Linked DNA regions of Saccharomyces cerevisiae S288C. Changing the gene in region 4 together with the main gene of any one other region gives a genetic interaction. Each region holds a gene or a part of one and is shown on either strand. Other genes may lie near its edges.

Region 1 (3,114 bases), on a different chromosome or scaffold from region 4:
ATATGTCATCGTCATCATCGTCCAGCCCGCGCGTTCAAAGTCGGCGGCACCGTAGTTCTGTGAGCGCAATATCTGCAATCTTACACCAAGGAAAATCTGGCCGCGAAGACATAACTGGAAGCCTTAGCGTTCCGGCAGAACAAGAAAAACTCAGTTTTCTTGCCAAAGCCTCGAGTATTTTCTTTCGAAGGAACAGTATGCCCAGAGACAAACATACGCATTCAGTATGTCCCGCTAGCCGCCCAGATTCCGAGAGATTTATCGTCACATCTGCAGCCGCGCAGTCTTTACGCCGCCAACAACAACTGGAAGACGCTCAGTACGCTCGAGTTATTACAAACTTTCGTACTATAGGATGGTGCTCTCCCAGCGAGATAGAGTCTGTGGAATATAAACGGTCCTTGATCAATGCGGAGTGGGACGAAAAGATCTCGCTTTTGTCTCACGCGCAATGCTATAAATAATAAATATACATATATATATATTTATATGTAGATAGATGTGTGTATATATATGCTAGGTAAAGAAACGGAAAAATCGAAAAATCGAAGTTGGAGAGGAAAAACAAGACATCAGGCCCGCACGTTTCGCGGGCTACCTGCCCATGTTCCGTCTCTTAATGTCATTCAACAATTTCAAAGACTTAATCTCGTTAATGTCATTGAGCTTTGCTTTCCAAAACTCATTTTCCTTGTTCAATTGCTCTATACGATCGCGAAGTTTGTTGATTTGCGTGTTTAAGTTCTGCAGCTTATTCATGTTCTCAAAATTCTTTTGTTTCTTGCGAATGCGGAACCGCTGCGACGCCTCTGTGTTCTTTCTTCTCCGCTCTTGCTTAATCTTATCCAGTTCGTTAGAAGTGCTCACGGGAGCTTCCTCTTCTTTTACAACAACTGCTGTTGTTGCGGCAACCTTCCCCTTTCTCGGCTCGCGGAGCTTCTTAAACTGCGAGACATCCTGGCCATTATTTATCATGCTAATGAGCTCCTCCGCGTTGCCACTGCTAACCAGCAGCAATGATAGCAAGCGCGAGCCCAGCTCTGAATCGCTTGATATCAGGTTCTGTAGATGTTCCGAAAGATTGTTCACGTTCATACCCTTCCTGCTTGCAATGTCAATGTTTGTTGATTTCTTTTCCCACCCTTGTTTCGCACTCATATTGACGAACAAAACAATTTGTCTTCGTAACTACCACTGGTTATAAATAGTTAAATTCAAGTTACCTCGTGTTCTTAGTCATTGGCTGCCCGGCCTTGACTCACGCCAGTGACCTACAACTATGGCGTTTCCGCTTCCCGCCCAAAACTGTGGTGTTAGAAAGTAGAAAAAGGTGAAAAAAGCGAAACCTAAAACCAAAAAAAAAAAATAAGTCACGTGCACTCAGTACCCCTTCTATTGTATTTTAGTTTACCTATTGGGCCGGGCGGGCCCCACAACTGTGGCATCTTTCAGATCATTTTTTTCCAGAATGCATGGAACTGACGAGTGAACTTTTATTCCACGGAAAAGGACAAAAAGGTGCAGTAATGGAATGGTCTTTTTGCACGGCAGTGATGTCGCTATCATATCAATCACTGAAAGTGAAGTTAACCATATTACAACAAGTTCACACAACATAAACAGTGTAACTAGCATATTATCACAGTCATGGCTCTACCTCTGATAAAACCTAAGGAGTCTGAGGAAAGCCACCTCGCTCTTTTGTCCAAGATCCACGTGTCCAAAAATTGGAAACTGCCTCCAAGGTTGCCCCATAGAGCAGCTCAGCGGAGGAAAAGAGTTCATCGACTTCACGAAGATTACGAAACTGAAGAAAATGATGAGGAGCTACAGAAGAAAAAACGGCAGAATAGAGACGCCCAAAGGGCCTACAGAGAACGCAAAAACAACAAGTTGCAAGTGCTGGAGGAAACCATAGAGTCACTGAGTAAGGTCGTTAAAAACTACGAAACGAAACTAAACCGCCTCCAAAATGAACTTCAAGCGAAAGAATCGGAAAATCATGCCCTTAAACAGAAATTGGAGACCCTTACTCTGAAACAAGCCTCTGTGCCTGCTCAGGACCCTATCCTGCAGAATTTGATCGAGAATTTCAAACCAATGAAGGCGATACCTATTAAGTACAATACCGCTATCAAGCGCCACCAGCACTCGACAGAACTGCCTAGCTCTGTCAAATGCGGCTTTTGTAACGACAACACTACTTGCGTTTGTAAAGAACTGGAAACAGATCACCGTAAAAGTGACGACGGTGTGGCCACAGAACAGAAGGATATGTCGATGCCACATGCAGAGTGCAATAATAAAGATAACCCCAATGGGCTCTGTAGTAATTGTACTAATATCGACAAATCATGTATCGACATCCGGTCCATCATCCACTGAAGAGAGAGAACTTCTTAATACTTATAAATACGTCATTGAACAGCTCAACTTTTGTAACGTCAAAAGAACGCACATGAAAGGAGTGACATTGCTTTTTTCTTTGCAAGTTTATTACTGTGGTTATGTGTAAAGAATTAGTTCATGGACATTGGCCGCAGAGTGCAAAAGCGTTTTGGACACCCCGCCTTTGGTGTTCTCGCCGCCATATTTTGAGACGTTAGTTTCCGACGAATTGAGCTGAAGCGGTGGACATTATCTCAAGGTACCGCTTACTATGCCTATACATTCCTGCAATTTTTTTTTTTTTTTTTTTGATAAGTATTACTGGGTAATGGGAAGTATAATCACTAGGCATATTATTTTTGACGCAGAGGAGTGGCAGCCTGTCTACTATGTAAATGTAATGGTAGAACCGTTATTATAACGTAAAATAGATCGTACATAAGAAAAACTGGACGCAAACCATTTAAATCTAAATGCGAATATGCGTACTGATTATTAACATGATACCATAATTTAGATCTTTCCTTTTGAAAGTCGTGTCAAATTCTAGTATTGGCGGATGAGATCCTAATGTGCTAAACAATAGAGATAATGGGATCCCCGCAAATTTCATTTTTAAATTGCTTTCCTCTTCTGAGTTGAACACGAATTTTTGAGAATCTAGCTGTAGTTAGACGTTACGCAAAAGAAGCTTTGGCGCAAGCAAATCTCCTTCCATACTGGTCT
Region 2 (4,458 bases), on a different chromosome or scaffold from region 4:
TCTTTGTCCTAGTAAATTTGTTGAGAAAATTTACATAATCTGAGGAACTACAATTTCTAATCTCCAGGCACACCCACCACGTGCCTGTTGGCTGACCGAGACAAAAGTGGAGAAGACAGGCACGCAGAAACGAACGTTTTGCAAGGAATGGATATGCTTCTGGAGCTTCTTCTTCCAGTCTATGCGAGATTGAATGAGAGCGGCTGGTTGCTATGGTTTGTCTTCCATGATGTGTACGAAGCTGTGAAAATGAGTACTAAGGAGTCAGTGCACACCAGGGTAATCAATTTCCCTGATATTTTGTCAACTCAACAAATGAGACAGGGTCCATCTCAGATCAGGACACCTCTGGTAATGCTTCTTATGTGAGGTGTCTTGGCCGAAATTTATATATATATATATATGTATCACTAAGCTCCTAATTAGACTGCCATGCGGCAGTCAACGTTACCTTTTTTGAAATGTAGAAAAATTTAGTTATTTTTTAGGATGTTCATAAATATATCTATATATGCCATTTTTAACATTATAAATTACGAACATACGTGAATGAGGTGATATGACTGGTAAAGAAGAAAAAAGGATAATAACAAACCAAACAAGATAACCTGTGCATTCTATTTTATAATTGGTAGCAGTTCTAAAGCAAAAAACTGAAAAAGTGCTTTAGTATGATGAGGCTTTCCTATCATGGAAATGTTGATCCATTAAGACGAACTATAAACGGCGTCAACTTTATCTTTGACAGCATTCAAAATGTCTTTTCTTTTCAATTTCTGAGCGGACGTAACAAAACCGTTTTGTGGAGTCCATTCGCCGTCAAAGAACACTATGCCTGCTAGTAATTCAATGCCAACCAAACCTTGGTCTTTACCTGTCTTCAAAAGATCAGAATAAACAGCTTTAATCAATTTTGCATCCTCCAAATAATTTTCGATATTAATTGAACTGTCTTTTTGTTCCATAATTCCCAACTTTTTAGCAAGCTTCGTTAATGGAGCATGATTTGGTACAATAATACCAACTGGCTTAGTCTTAGATTGGTCGGCATAAACACAAATGTTAGCAACATATTCGTTAGATCTGTAAACGGACTCTAATTTCTCGAGTGCGATATATTCACCGTTCATTGTTTTGACCAAGTTTTTCTTCCTGTCAATTATTTTCAAATGGCCATTTGCTTCCCATTCACCGATGTCACCGGTCTTGAACCAACCATCGCTTGTTAAAGCTTGAGAAGTTTCTTCCTCATTCTTATAATATTCAGGCGTGACATTGGCACCTGTGATCCAAACTTCACCTTGGTTGTTTTTAGCAAAATAACCTAATTCTTCAACATCAACTAGTTTGACGGTAACACAACCTGTTAGGTCACCAGCGACGCCGAGTTCAAAATTAGCAGGATCCAAGATGGTGGTACTAGCGCATGTCTCGGTTAAACCGTAACCAATAAGCATAGGGCAGATTAAATTTGTGATGAATTCCTGAGCATCCCGACTGATTGGAGAACCACCGTTTAACAAATATCTTAATTGGCCACCTGTGGCAGTTCTGATTTTTTTGAAAACCAAGTTTCCTAAGGCGCCGCCACCAGGGATGTGGAGACGTTGCATGTTCAACTTGGTATTATACGCGGTCCAGAAGATTTTCTTGGTGAGGAAGGGCAAATTATCAATTTGGTTTAAGATCCCTTTTCTCACTGTTTCCCAAACAGCGGCGACACCAACCATGATTGTGGGCTTGAATTCTTGCAAATCACCTTGACAATTTCTCACAGAGCTGCTAGTTAAAGTTTTTACGGTGGCATAACCAATGCAGGCCCCCCAATAAAAGGACAATAGTTCGAAAACCAATTCAAAAATATGAGCTAGTGGCAAAAAACAGATAACACGGTCGGTATTGCCCACAAACTTCAAAACATTCAAACTTGCACCACCAACACCTGCGACAACATTTGAATGTTTCAAGACAACACCCTTTGGCTCACCTGTAGAACCAGACGTATACATGATGCAACAAAGATCATCCTTGCCAGGTGGATGAACATCGATTTCGTTACAGGATTCTTTACCTAGCTTCAAGATGTCGTCAAAGCTAAAGGTCTTGATATCAGGTCTAACTTCTTTAATTCTGTTGATGGCATCATGAGCAGATTGATAGATCTTACCACTTTGCCTCCTGTCCTCAGAACTGATGGAATCGAAATGAATTATGTATTTTACGTCTTGAGCGGCTTGCACTGGTTTGATCAAGGATGGTAATAAAGAGTTATCGGTAAAAATGGCCTTAGACCCCGTTTGCACCAAAGAATGAATTAGCCCTTTCTCTCCCAAAGTATCGTAGGCAGTGACGACAGGAATACCTTGAGACTGCGCTCCTAAGAACATCTTCATCCACTTGTGAGAAGTGGCTGCGTAAAGATGTAATTTGTCATCATCATTAGGCTTTAATCCTATTTTCACCAACCCACGACCAATTTCATGCATGATATCGGTCAATTGGTCAAATGAATTATAATGATAATGCGATAGTTCATAATACATCCATTTCTTTTCCACTGAAGTCTCCTTGCCATCAACTTTTTTCATAACCGATTTGGATTCTTCATGAATTTCCTTAACATCCCTCCAACCCATAGCATTTGAATTTTTGTTCTTCTGAAAGCACTCTAGAACAAACTCATAAACAGTGGAACACTTTGTGTTAGGCGGTCTGACGAGCGGCTTCTCGCGGCATTGATAATTTCTTCTTGGAGCAGTTTCATGCTCATTGGCGGCTTTCCCAACTGGAACGGTATATTGAGCAACCATATTGTTGTCTTTTTTTGTCTTTTGTGTTTGTTCTAGTTTTTATTGTATCCTAACGAGTTTTTTAACAACAAGAACTTTCTATACTTACTAAATATACTACAATTGTCTCACGACAAGTGAGGGGTAAAAGGAAAAAAAGAGAGAAAAATAAGCGGTTAAAGCCTTTTACTTAAAGACAGCGAAGGAGATCTCCAAACATTTTTGTTGTAATATCGATAATACGATATCCGCGAAAGGAACCAAAAAAAGCAAAAAAAAAAAAAAAACGCGCGAGAACAGCCTATCTCTGCTGTCCCGTATGCACAGGGAAGTTCTCCTGATATGCGATGGGTGGGTGCCCCTGTGTCATTCGTATTATATGATGTATTCGTGCCTGTATCATGCATAAATATTCACATGGCGGAGATCATGTTCCTGACAGGGCGTGATCGACTTTACTATTGTCCTTGTCATTCCCTTATGGAAGAATATGACAGGGCTGCATCATCCATATTCTAAGTAATTCTCTTTGCCGCGCTAAGCATGGCTTCATCGCTTGTTAGAAGGCGCATTTGTTATAAAGTTCAGCCGGCTCTATCGGTCCGCTAGCTAGGTCTGTTTACTTTCCGCAGCGTAAGCAGCTGGCAAAGTGGATCGGTCTTACATCTACAACGCAGTGACGTTTCTGATACTTTGGTGACGTATTCTTTTCTCACCGCTACGTTTTCTTCGCCCGCTCCGTGCGGACCGAAAAAAGACCCTCTCCCCTTATAAATTTTGTCAGTATTATAGCAATTGCCTGCGGACTTTCACCGCGCTTAGATCAAGAGGGCATCATGAGGCTACCTACAATTGACATACTAAGTCAAGAAAAATAATAGTGTATCGAATACGCGTGGTAGCTACATTAAATACTAAAGTATGGTTTTTTTTTTTAAGTAGGTTTACTCTTCATATTCTTCATTTTCATTTTTCCTTTTCTTCCCGTTCTTCATTTTTATTCCTAGAAAAAAAAATAAATATGTCTATCGTTAACCTAAACATAAACAAAGTTTAGCCCGCTTATTTAAATGATGCCCAGTACTTTTTTTCAAAACTCATATAATTATATATATCAAGAATGCTTTCCAACCACCGCTTGTATTAAGGTGTAGAAAGGTGGTTTTTGTATTCAAAAAGAGTACAAGCCCATTATAGCTAACTTAACAGTCCACCCTACTATATCCCACGCATATCTGGTTTTAACTTGTGGCGGGCGATATGGAACGAATTTTTCAAAGTTAACCATAGAAAAAAGCATGTGATCAAGGCAGAGTGAACGAGGGAAAAAGAAAGTGTGGAGAAGGCCACCTTTTGAAAAGTTTACCAATCGATCGGTCTCTCAGCACTTTCTACATTTAATCTCTTTATAGTGAACATCGCTGGCTCATGCTGGTTCCCATGCATAACTCACCCACGGCCGCCAACGGCCGCTTATCACTTACTGTCGCCAGCTCCGGTCTTAGAAAGGGTAAAAAAAACCGGGTGTATACTATACACTCATACATCCGCTCACCCGTTTCCAGTAGTGAATTTTCATTTTCTGTACGAAGGCAATATAAGCTGACGATCCGCATAAAGCAGAAGACTCATTTGTAATGCAGAATATCCGTACAATAAAGGAATTTAT
Region 3 (3,470 bases), on a different chromosome or scaffold from region 4:
TTGGTATTCCCCAGGCGAAAAGATATGTGGGAACTATCATGTTTTTGTTGGTACAAAATAAGGCATTATGCTAAAAACATACTATTTAACCACGTACACACATATTTATTTACAAGGATACCAAACTTGATCTTATTAACGGAGGCTTAAAGTTGGCTCAAGAAATTGTTTTGCTTGATTCGCTGCCTGTTCGCCTTCCTTATGTTCTTTCTTCTCTTTAAGAGAGCCTGTCCCTCTGGGTCCTCAGCCGCATGTTCGACAACGTGATCACTATCCAATACGCTCCATAACCAATTTGGATACTCCTTGTCCTCGAGTGCCACTGCGTCTTTACCGCTCTTCCATATGTTTAAGTTAAGCGATGTTCCCGCAGGACACGACGACACCACTGACTTAACCGTGGGTTTATTATATAAGATACGACTGGTCGATATCAACCTGTAACCCAAACTGCGCGCCAACATCTTCAGTCTTCAGCAGCTATTTCCTTTGCTGTAGATATAACTGCTTTAAGAAGCCTATTAGTTTTTTCACTTTCGAGATTTTTGCGCCAAACAAGGGCGCACAAATACCCGGCATCACGCATTTATTATATGAAGAGAATATTAGAACAGGCATTTCAAAGCATGATTCAATGACTATAACATTGCTATAGAGGGGGTAGTGAAGAATTATCTAATGTACAAATGGTGAAGCAGTATATATGCGACAAAATACTAAAAAAAGTAGTGCAAAAAGAATTACTGCAGAAGTTGGTCTCTGTAGTGTGGTTGGTTATTGACGAACTTGGCACTTCTCTTATCGAGCCTTTTCTTGTCGAACCTCTCAGTTTGCCAAACACGCTGTTGAGTCTGCACGCCCTTTTTGTCGAAGGCAGGTAAGAACGATCTCGTCTCTGCAGCGACCAGGGTACCTTGGCCTTCGGTCAGTATCACCTCGGGCTTTAAGTCTTGCTTGTAGTATCTTTGCAAGGACCTGTGGCCAACTTTGATGCCTGTCGGTAGATGCAGCTCTATACCATCGTTATATAAGTACTCTTGTGGCAGATCTTCGTCGTCGCTTCCGGCTTCGTCGCTGCCCACGTCTTCCCAGTCATCTTCGTTGTCTGGTGTTGTGTTGCTATTAAAGTTTGCGTATGAGCTTGTAAAATCGTAGAATTCAGATATCTCCAACCTTTCATCCTCGCTTTCGTAGGGAATTTTACAGTGTCTCTTTGCCAACATGTGCTGTCTTACAGCGGTCAACGTTCTCCCCTGGTAATTACAAACAATACAAATGTTCCCAAGACCAATCTTCTCCGACATGTATTTTACCAAGCCGATCTTGTCGACTAGATATTTCTGTTCTGGGATATAAAACCCGTGGGTCCTAAACATGTGTTCCAGGTTTTCTTCAACATCTTTGAAGTGCTTATTGTGCTCACAAAATAGACATTGTTCCAGTGGAATATCGACTCTGTTGCGTAGCTTTTCTTGCATTACTCTTTCCGCCATTTCTTCCTCGGTCAACTGTTCAGGCTCCTCCTTCTTAGGTTCTTCCTTTTCCTTGTTCTCCTCATTTTCTTGCAAAGAGAGCTTGCTTAGGTCGGGAGTATTTCCCTCTTGGCTCTTTTGCATGTTTTCAAGCATATTAGCCCTGGCAATTTCCAACAGTTTCTTTTTCTTTTCGAGCAATGCTTGCTTTTCCCTTCTTTTCAACTCCTTTTTGGTAACAGGTTTCTCCTTTTCAGCAGACTTACTAGTACTGGCAGCAGCTGCAGACACTTTGGAGTCAAATGTCTCAAATGATATTGGTGGCAATTGTGCAACACGTCTTTTCAAATTGTAGCGATGCCAATCGGACTTCATGTGGGCCCGCTGCTCGTCGCTTGAATCAAAGGTCAGGACACATGAATTACACGTATAAACACCACTGCTACTCATCGTATTGTTACTGATATGCTCTCTTCTTGACTTCTAATGAGAAGCATCTCATAACCTGTACTAAAAGTGGAAAGAGGAAAATTTTTTTCACCTCATCGCATCGGTACCCATAAGAAAAACTTTCAAAATATAGTAAGAAAAGAGAATAAAAATAGGAAAATATCGCCGTGGTAATAATGTTATAATTAATATTTCGTATATACTTATACATGTACAAATAGCTACACCACTAGGGTTTGTCTTGAAAGAAATAAAGAGAGTCACGGGGAATATCGGGAATGAGAGTGGATGTGCTCTCAGTTGGCCTTCTTGCCGTCATTTTCACGAAACCATTTCCTGATATACCAGGAACAGCCAACCATGTAGAATGGCACGACCAGAATGTTTGATAGGACACCAAAAATCCATTGCAACGGAACAAAGCGGCTTTTCTTTGCGGTGAGCCCAAGGTCCATCCCCATTATCATCCATCCGACAAAATCTGTAAAAACGTCATCATCACCTCTGGCCAGCGACTTGGCAATGATATCACATGCTTGTTTGCATGGGATAGCGTCTGAGGGGCCTTCGATCAACTTTGTAATTTCGGGTTTCGTTAGCTGCTCTACAGTGAAACCTTCGCTTTCAAAATTACCAGGATAAACACAACTGATACGGAAGTTCGTCAGTTCTTGTCTTAAGATTGCTACCAGTGATTTGATTGCAGCTTTTGCAGGCGCATACTGGGAATAGCCCACAAATGGGTAAAGCGCGGTGGCACTAGAAAAGATGATGAGGTGGTGTTCCTTGGTTTGCTCTGCAAGGGCAATCTGATGTGCCACGTTCAAAGTTGTTTTATAGTTGATGTCCATACCCAAGTTCAACTCATGTCCGCTTAGCCCACGAAATAACTTAGGAACAGCCCCCCCTGCACAGCATAACGTTTGTGTAGGGAGTAAATCCAAGTCTCTCAGGGCATTGAACAAACATTCCACGGATTCGTAGCAGGACAAGTCGCATGGGTAGTAAAATAACCGTTGCTCAAGGTCCAAGGGCGCAGCCAACTTATGTTGCACTTGGCCCTCGTCAGTGGTTTCCCTTCTCAGGTGAGCTTCAATCCTAATTTCGTTGCATGTGTCCAGCAGTCTAGCCTCTGACCTACTGACGATAATAATCTTTGTGTTTTCAGCCTCATTATAATATTTTTTGGCGAATTCCTTTCCAAGACCTTGTGAACCACCAGTGATCAACACAACTTGGTCTTCTAACGTAAACTTCATTACCTACAAAAGATTATACCGATAACTTCTTTTCTTGAGGCAATCTTATTTAATCGCTTCCAGTAAATGCAGAGAAACTCCTCTGCATTTTTCATTTTTTTGTTTTTTTTTTGTCGTTTATTGTTTTTTAGCCTTACGTTTCACGTTAAGGAACAATGATAGTAAAATTACTCCAGGAAATACAAGTAGCACAAAATACGGAGGAATACGATATGGAAGCAACCATCAAAGTGGTACTGCTAGGAGATTCATCAGTGGGGAAAACCAGTATAGTGACTAGGCTCAAATC
Region 4 (4,366 bases):
GCAGAGTTTTTTAAACAAGGAAAGAATAAAAGTTGGCAGCATAAAAAAAAGATATTCTCTCTTCAAAACATTTGTCGGATATGACCTCACCTAAGCACTTGGTGCTTTGATGACAATAATCACACTAAAGAGCGATATTCGATAGTGAGACTTTTCCCTCTCAATCTTATTCACATTAGCGCAAGCAAAATGGAATGAATGGCACATTAAAATTGAAAATAAAAGTTCTTGTTGTTGCAGAAGCGGTATAGGAGTTCGCAAAATGGTAGTTAAGAAAAAAGATGGCGGGTTTAATTCATAGTACAATTCAAATGTTAGACAGAAAAAGAAAAAATTTCTGTTATATGCACGTTGTAATGTAATAGTAAAAAGATAATTTAACGTAATTGAAGAGATAAAGTATTATCGATGTTATTCTTATTATTAGTCGGTTTAGAAAATATTATTATAACAAATAATAAAAGAAAAAGAAAAAATGCGACAGAAAATATTATTCTTATTATAGTGGGGGAAAGATGAAAAGCAATGCATATAATGTGATACATGCAAGGAAATCAGGTTTTTGCGGAACCATTTTTTTAGTTTTTTATATGACCAACATTAGAATTGTAACTGGAAAGCATATTTACATTAGGATTTGGGTTACCACTGCCTCCTCTTCTGCTGTTTGGGCCCCTAACACCCAGTGGGTTTTTTGAAAAGCTTAATCTGATACCTCCCTTACTGCTCACAGTGGAGCGAGGTAACTGTCTACCATACAATTCAGCTAACGCTCTGGTTGCAAAACTGACATCATCGAATTCAACGAAGCACATCGGTCCGTGACTATGACCATTAGATGTGGTATTCTTATTCCTGAATGATAGTCTTCTGAAGCCTTCTTGACCAGAAAATAGCTGTCTTAGTTCTTGCTCAGTAGCGTCGGAGGGTAAATTCCCTACATAAAGGGTATTACAAGGTGGATTTTGATCAGCAGGGTTGGCAGGAGGTGGAATTCTGGCTAGTAGTGACAAATCAGCCTGAGAAATCGAGGCAGATCCAGTAATATTTGAGGATAATGAGGTAGTAGAGTTATTCTTGTGTGAATTTCTACTTGAACTTAATCTTGCGGGCGGTACTTTTTGAGGAGTGTTACTTTGATTCACAGGATACATATGCTCTGGTTGGGGTTGTTGCATAAATCTGTTCTGTTTTTGAGGTGTAATGTTCATATCAGAGGTGTTTACCATATTTGAAATGTGCTGCGATTGAGAAGACATTAAACCGTATGGAGGCAATGAATTTGAAGAGGTTAGGGAAGTGTTAATCGTGTTACCAATTTGCATCATTGGTTGTTGCGAGCTGGCAGAGAGTGCCTGGTTAGCACCATTATTGCTGGCTCCATTGTTGGAGCTGGCGTTTGCATTGGCACTGGTGTTGCTATTCGTAGGTGCAATGGCTGTCGATGCTGCAGAGGGTAAAAAGAACGAAGAACCATGTTGGGATGCAGAAGTATTTCCCCATTCTAAAGTTGGCGTAGAAGGTTGGGGAGTGCTCATGTAACCGTTGATGCTGGAAGGTATACCGCTTGTGCCCCATATCTTTTCATTAATTTCAGTGTTATCTCTCAAAAGGAAAGATTTGCCAATATCAGATGTTTGAATTGTTGATTCCACAGACAAATCTTGATGTGAATGGTTAGAATGTAACCCAATAACCTGGCCTTGAGAAGATAACGGTATTGAAGAATTCACTTGTTGTTGATTACATTGTTGTGGTGAATGTTTTTGCGTAGAGTGTTGTTGTGGCTGTTGTGGCTGTTGCTGCTGCTGTTGAGATTGCTGTTGGCTTAAAGGAGAATCATTGGAAAATGGATCGCTGAATGAAAACCTGGATCTTTGTGATAACAGACTTGGCCTTTTCATTCCCGAGTTCGATTTATTCAATCTTGAGGTGTCATTGAAAATGGCAGATGATGGGAATGAAACCAAGTTTTTTGTTGTGTCATCTATTATTTCAACGGTTGTTTTATTGGGAAAACTGGGTCCAAAGAGTTCATTTTTCGAATTCAAAATAACGGCATAATTAATAGCTAGATTCAATAACTCAAATCTGGCAATGATAAAAATATCATTCTCGTCTTCTAATGAGGCAGAAGTGATGCTTGATGAAGAGTTTTTTTTCTGTAATTCTATACTTTTCACACCTTCAGCAAGAGCGAAGATTGCATAGCATTCTCTGAGAGTAATATCCTTGGCTACATTTGACAATTTTAGGCTGTAGCTCCCCTTAATGTTGTTATCGTGATTGCTAATGTTGCTGCTTGCAATGTCTTGGGGCATACTTCCAAGGGCAAGTGTGTTTAGCATAGAAGATATCGCTAAGGGTGAGTTTGTGTCATTCAAATACAACTCCCCACTTGCGCTTCCTCTACCCGACGCTTCGTGGGGATGAGAAGTAGTGTTCAGATTCAAACTGGAACGATGACTGGGAGAAATGTTGTGTGTGTTGGTGGTACTAGACACAACGTTGTCGCTACTGGACGCAAATGACCCTGTTTGGTCAAAATAAACTGAACTTTGCATGCTAAGAGATACAGGTTTTTCCCTCTGAAATATTGATCGATAAAGGCTGCTCTAGGTAAGTGACGCTTACAAATATTTGCAACTCACAGAAAAGTGATGACAAAGACTTTTAACTTGAAATGATATGATCAGTTGAGAAAAAGCTGGTGAAGCAAATGAAAAATACGGGAAGAAAACAGGAACAGAAGGTTTTCAAAGTACACGACTTATTTTCTCTTTAATGCTAATTGATTGAATAAAGAGAAGACAGAAAGGAAACTGACACGTAAAATATGTGGACGGAATAAACAACTGTGCGTGAGCAGCGTTTCAAAAGCCTTTTCTTTTTGGAGGTCTGTGCTTGTTTAAAGAAGGCAATTCAATCAGGTGGTTATACTTGTTTATTCCGGCTTACTTGGTCGTGTTTGTTTTTTCTTTTGACCTCTCATGTCCGAAAAGGTCCAAAACAACGAGAAAAAAAAGCAGCAATCAGTTACCCCATTTAACGCGGGTAACAATAACGATTGTTCTAAATAGAGCAGATATCCAATAGTTGAGAACATGAAGAAGGATGGCGATAGAATCAGTGCGAAGCAGTCTAAAGAAGTTCCTTTCCCTTTCCTTTCCTTTTATTTTGCTAATAGTATTTGATATAAAGATGAAATACTATAAGAAGTTTATAAATTTTTTAAATTAGAAAAGCTAAATAGCAGCTTGATCGCAACAAGTGGGGAATTCTGACCAGCGCGACGCTTGTTGCATGGTTATTCCTGCATCTGGGACTGGTTTTTCATCCATACACAATCTTTCAAGCCCGATGGTGACATTTTTGACCTTGTTTGAGTATTCCATCTCTTGCTGCAGTAGCTTTTTACCTCTCTCATGCAGACCATTAGATGATGCAGATATGTTAAGATCTTCGGTAATTAGCGCTACTGAATTGAAGGAGGTTATGTCGTTGTAGTTGATATTATATTTGGGATCAGGAACTGATGAGACCGTAGTCGCATTACTGGTCGTGCTGCAGTTTGACCAGCGTCGTTCCCAGGAGGTGAACTCCATGTCTTGAAGGACAAACTGACTATCTTTCGAGACGTCGAGGACGTTATCATTGAAAAGTTCCGTGAGTTGGACATTAAGAGGACTAGATGTTTGAATAGCCTGATCTATCATGATCTTGGACACGGTTTGATGGTCTATGTCAAAATCTAGTCCAGTCTGTGGTTTAGGTTTACCATTTTCAGCTGCTGTGTTCTGATTAATGGCTTCTGAATTCGGTTCTTTGAAACGAAATTCTTTTGCCAGTGATAATTTTTTCTGTTCTTTTAGCCTTTTGTCTTCTCTTTTGTAGTTTTCTTTTTCTACTTCTTTTGGCTTCTCTCTATCTTTTCTACTTGTATTTTTTTTTTTGTTTTTAGCCATTTTATCTAAGAACTTTTTCCTTTCTTCACCAAAAGCTCTCATTTTATCCTTTTCCCTCTTAGTATCTATTTGATCAACATTTCCACCTTTTGATTTATTTTTCTTTACTTGTCGATCTTTTGGTAGTTTCACTTCGTACTTTTTGTAACCGATGATTTGATCTACTTTATTCATCATAACAGTAATATATTATGTTTTTGATTTTTACTATACTGATTAAGGTAGAAAATGGGACGATCTTGCTTTTTGTGTCCTTTCATTGAAGCACTGTTATTTATACGGTCAACTGCAGCCGGGCATAATTTCGGCGGCTATTCATATTGTCATCCCCGCACTCCTTCTTTGACAGCACGCAAGCACATGGAGGCTGATAATGCCCTCCCATATTGTAATAGAATATA

Evidence for each region.
Region 1: mutations in WHI3 (region 4) and MET28 together harm fitness less than expected from each alone (positive genetic interaction), as found in Saccharomyces cerevisiae (2 studies listed by BioGRID).
Region 2: mutations in WHI3 (region 4) and FAA1 together harm fitness less than expected from each alone (positive genetic interaction), as found in Saccharomyces cerevisiae (2 studies listed by BioGRID).
Region 3: mutations in WHI3 (region 4) and REI1 together harm fitness less than expected from each alone (positive genetic interaction), as found in Saccharomyces cerevisiae (2 studies listed by BioGRID).

The regions. Positions count from the first base shown.
Region 1 is NC_001141.2:382,962-386,075, forward strand, and holds MET28 (Met28p), read right to left. Parts: upstream 1,159-3,114; coding exon 595-1,158; downstream 1-594. Other genes in the region: YIR016W (uncharacterized protein), read left to right, coding at 1-464; YAP5 (Yap5p), read left to right, coding at 1,648-2,385; YIR018C-A (uncharacterized protein), read right to left, coding at 2,603-2,740. UniProt on the Saccharomyces cerevisiae protein: Acts as an accessory factor in the activation of sulfur amino acids metabolism genes. Possesses no intrinsic transcription activation abilities. Binds to the MET16 promoter as a complex with MET4 and CBF1. Enhances the DNA-binding activity of CBF1.
Region 2 is NC_001147.6:907,695-912,152, reverse strand, and holds FAA1 (long-chain fatty acid-CoA ligase FAA1), read right to left. Parts: upstream 2,811-4,458; coding exon 708-2,810; downstream 1-707. Other genes in the region: YOR316C-A (uncharacterized protein), read left to right, coding at 4,218-4,427. UniProt on the Saccharomyces cerevisiae protein: Activates long-chain fatty acids (LCFA) by esterification of the fatty acids into metabolically active CoA-thioesters for subsequent degradation or incorporation into phospholipids.
Region 3 is NC_001134.8:738,293-741,762, reverse strand, and holds REI1 (Rei1p), read right to left. Parts: upstream 1,923-3,470; coding exon 741-1,922; downstream 1-740. Other genes in the region: mitochondrial 54S ribosomal protein mL54 MRPL37, read right to left, coding at 147-464; SLM6 (Slm6p), read left to right, coding at 1,375-1,827; TSC10 (3-dehydrosphinganine reductase), read right to left, coding at 2,219-3,181; Rab family GTPase YPT10, read left to right, coding at 3,394-3,470. UniProt on the Saccharomyces cerevisiae protein: Pre-60S-associated factor involved in the cytoplasmic maturation of the 60S subunit. Involved in the dissociation and recycling of other late pre-60S factors like ARX1, TIF6 and ALB1 before newly synthesized large ribosomal subunits enter translation.
Region 4 is NC_001146.8:267,030-271,395, forward strand, and holds WHI3 (mRNA-binding protein WHI3), read right to left. Parts: upstream 2,565-4,366; coding exon 579-2,564; downstream 1-578. Other genes in the region: SLZ1 (Slz1p), read right to left, coding at 3,246-4,142. UniProt on the Saccharomyces cerevisiae protein: Involved in size control and cell cycle.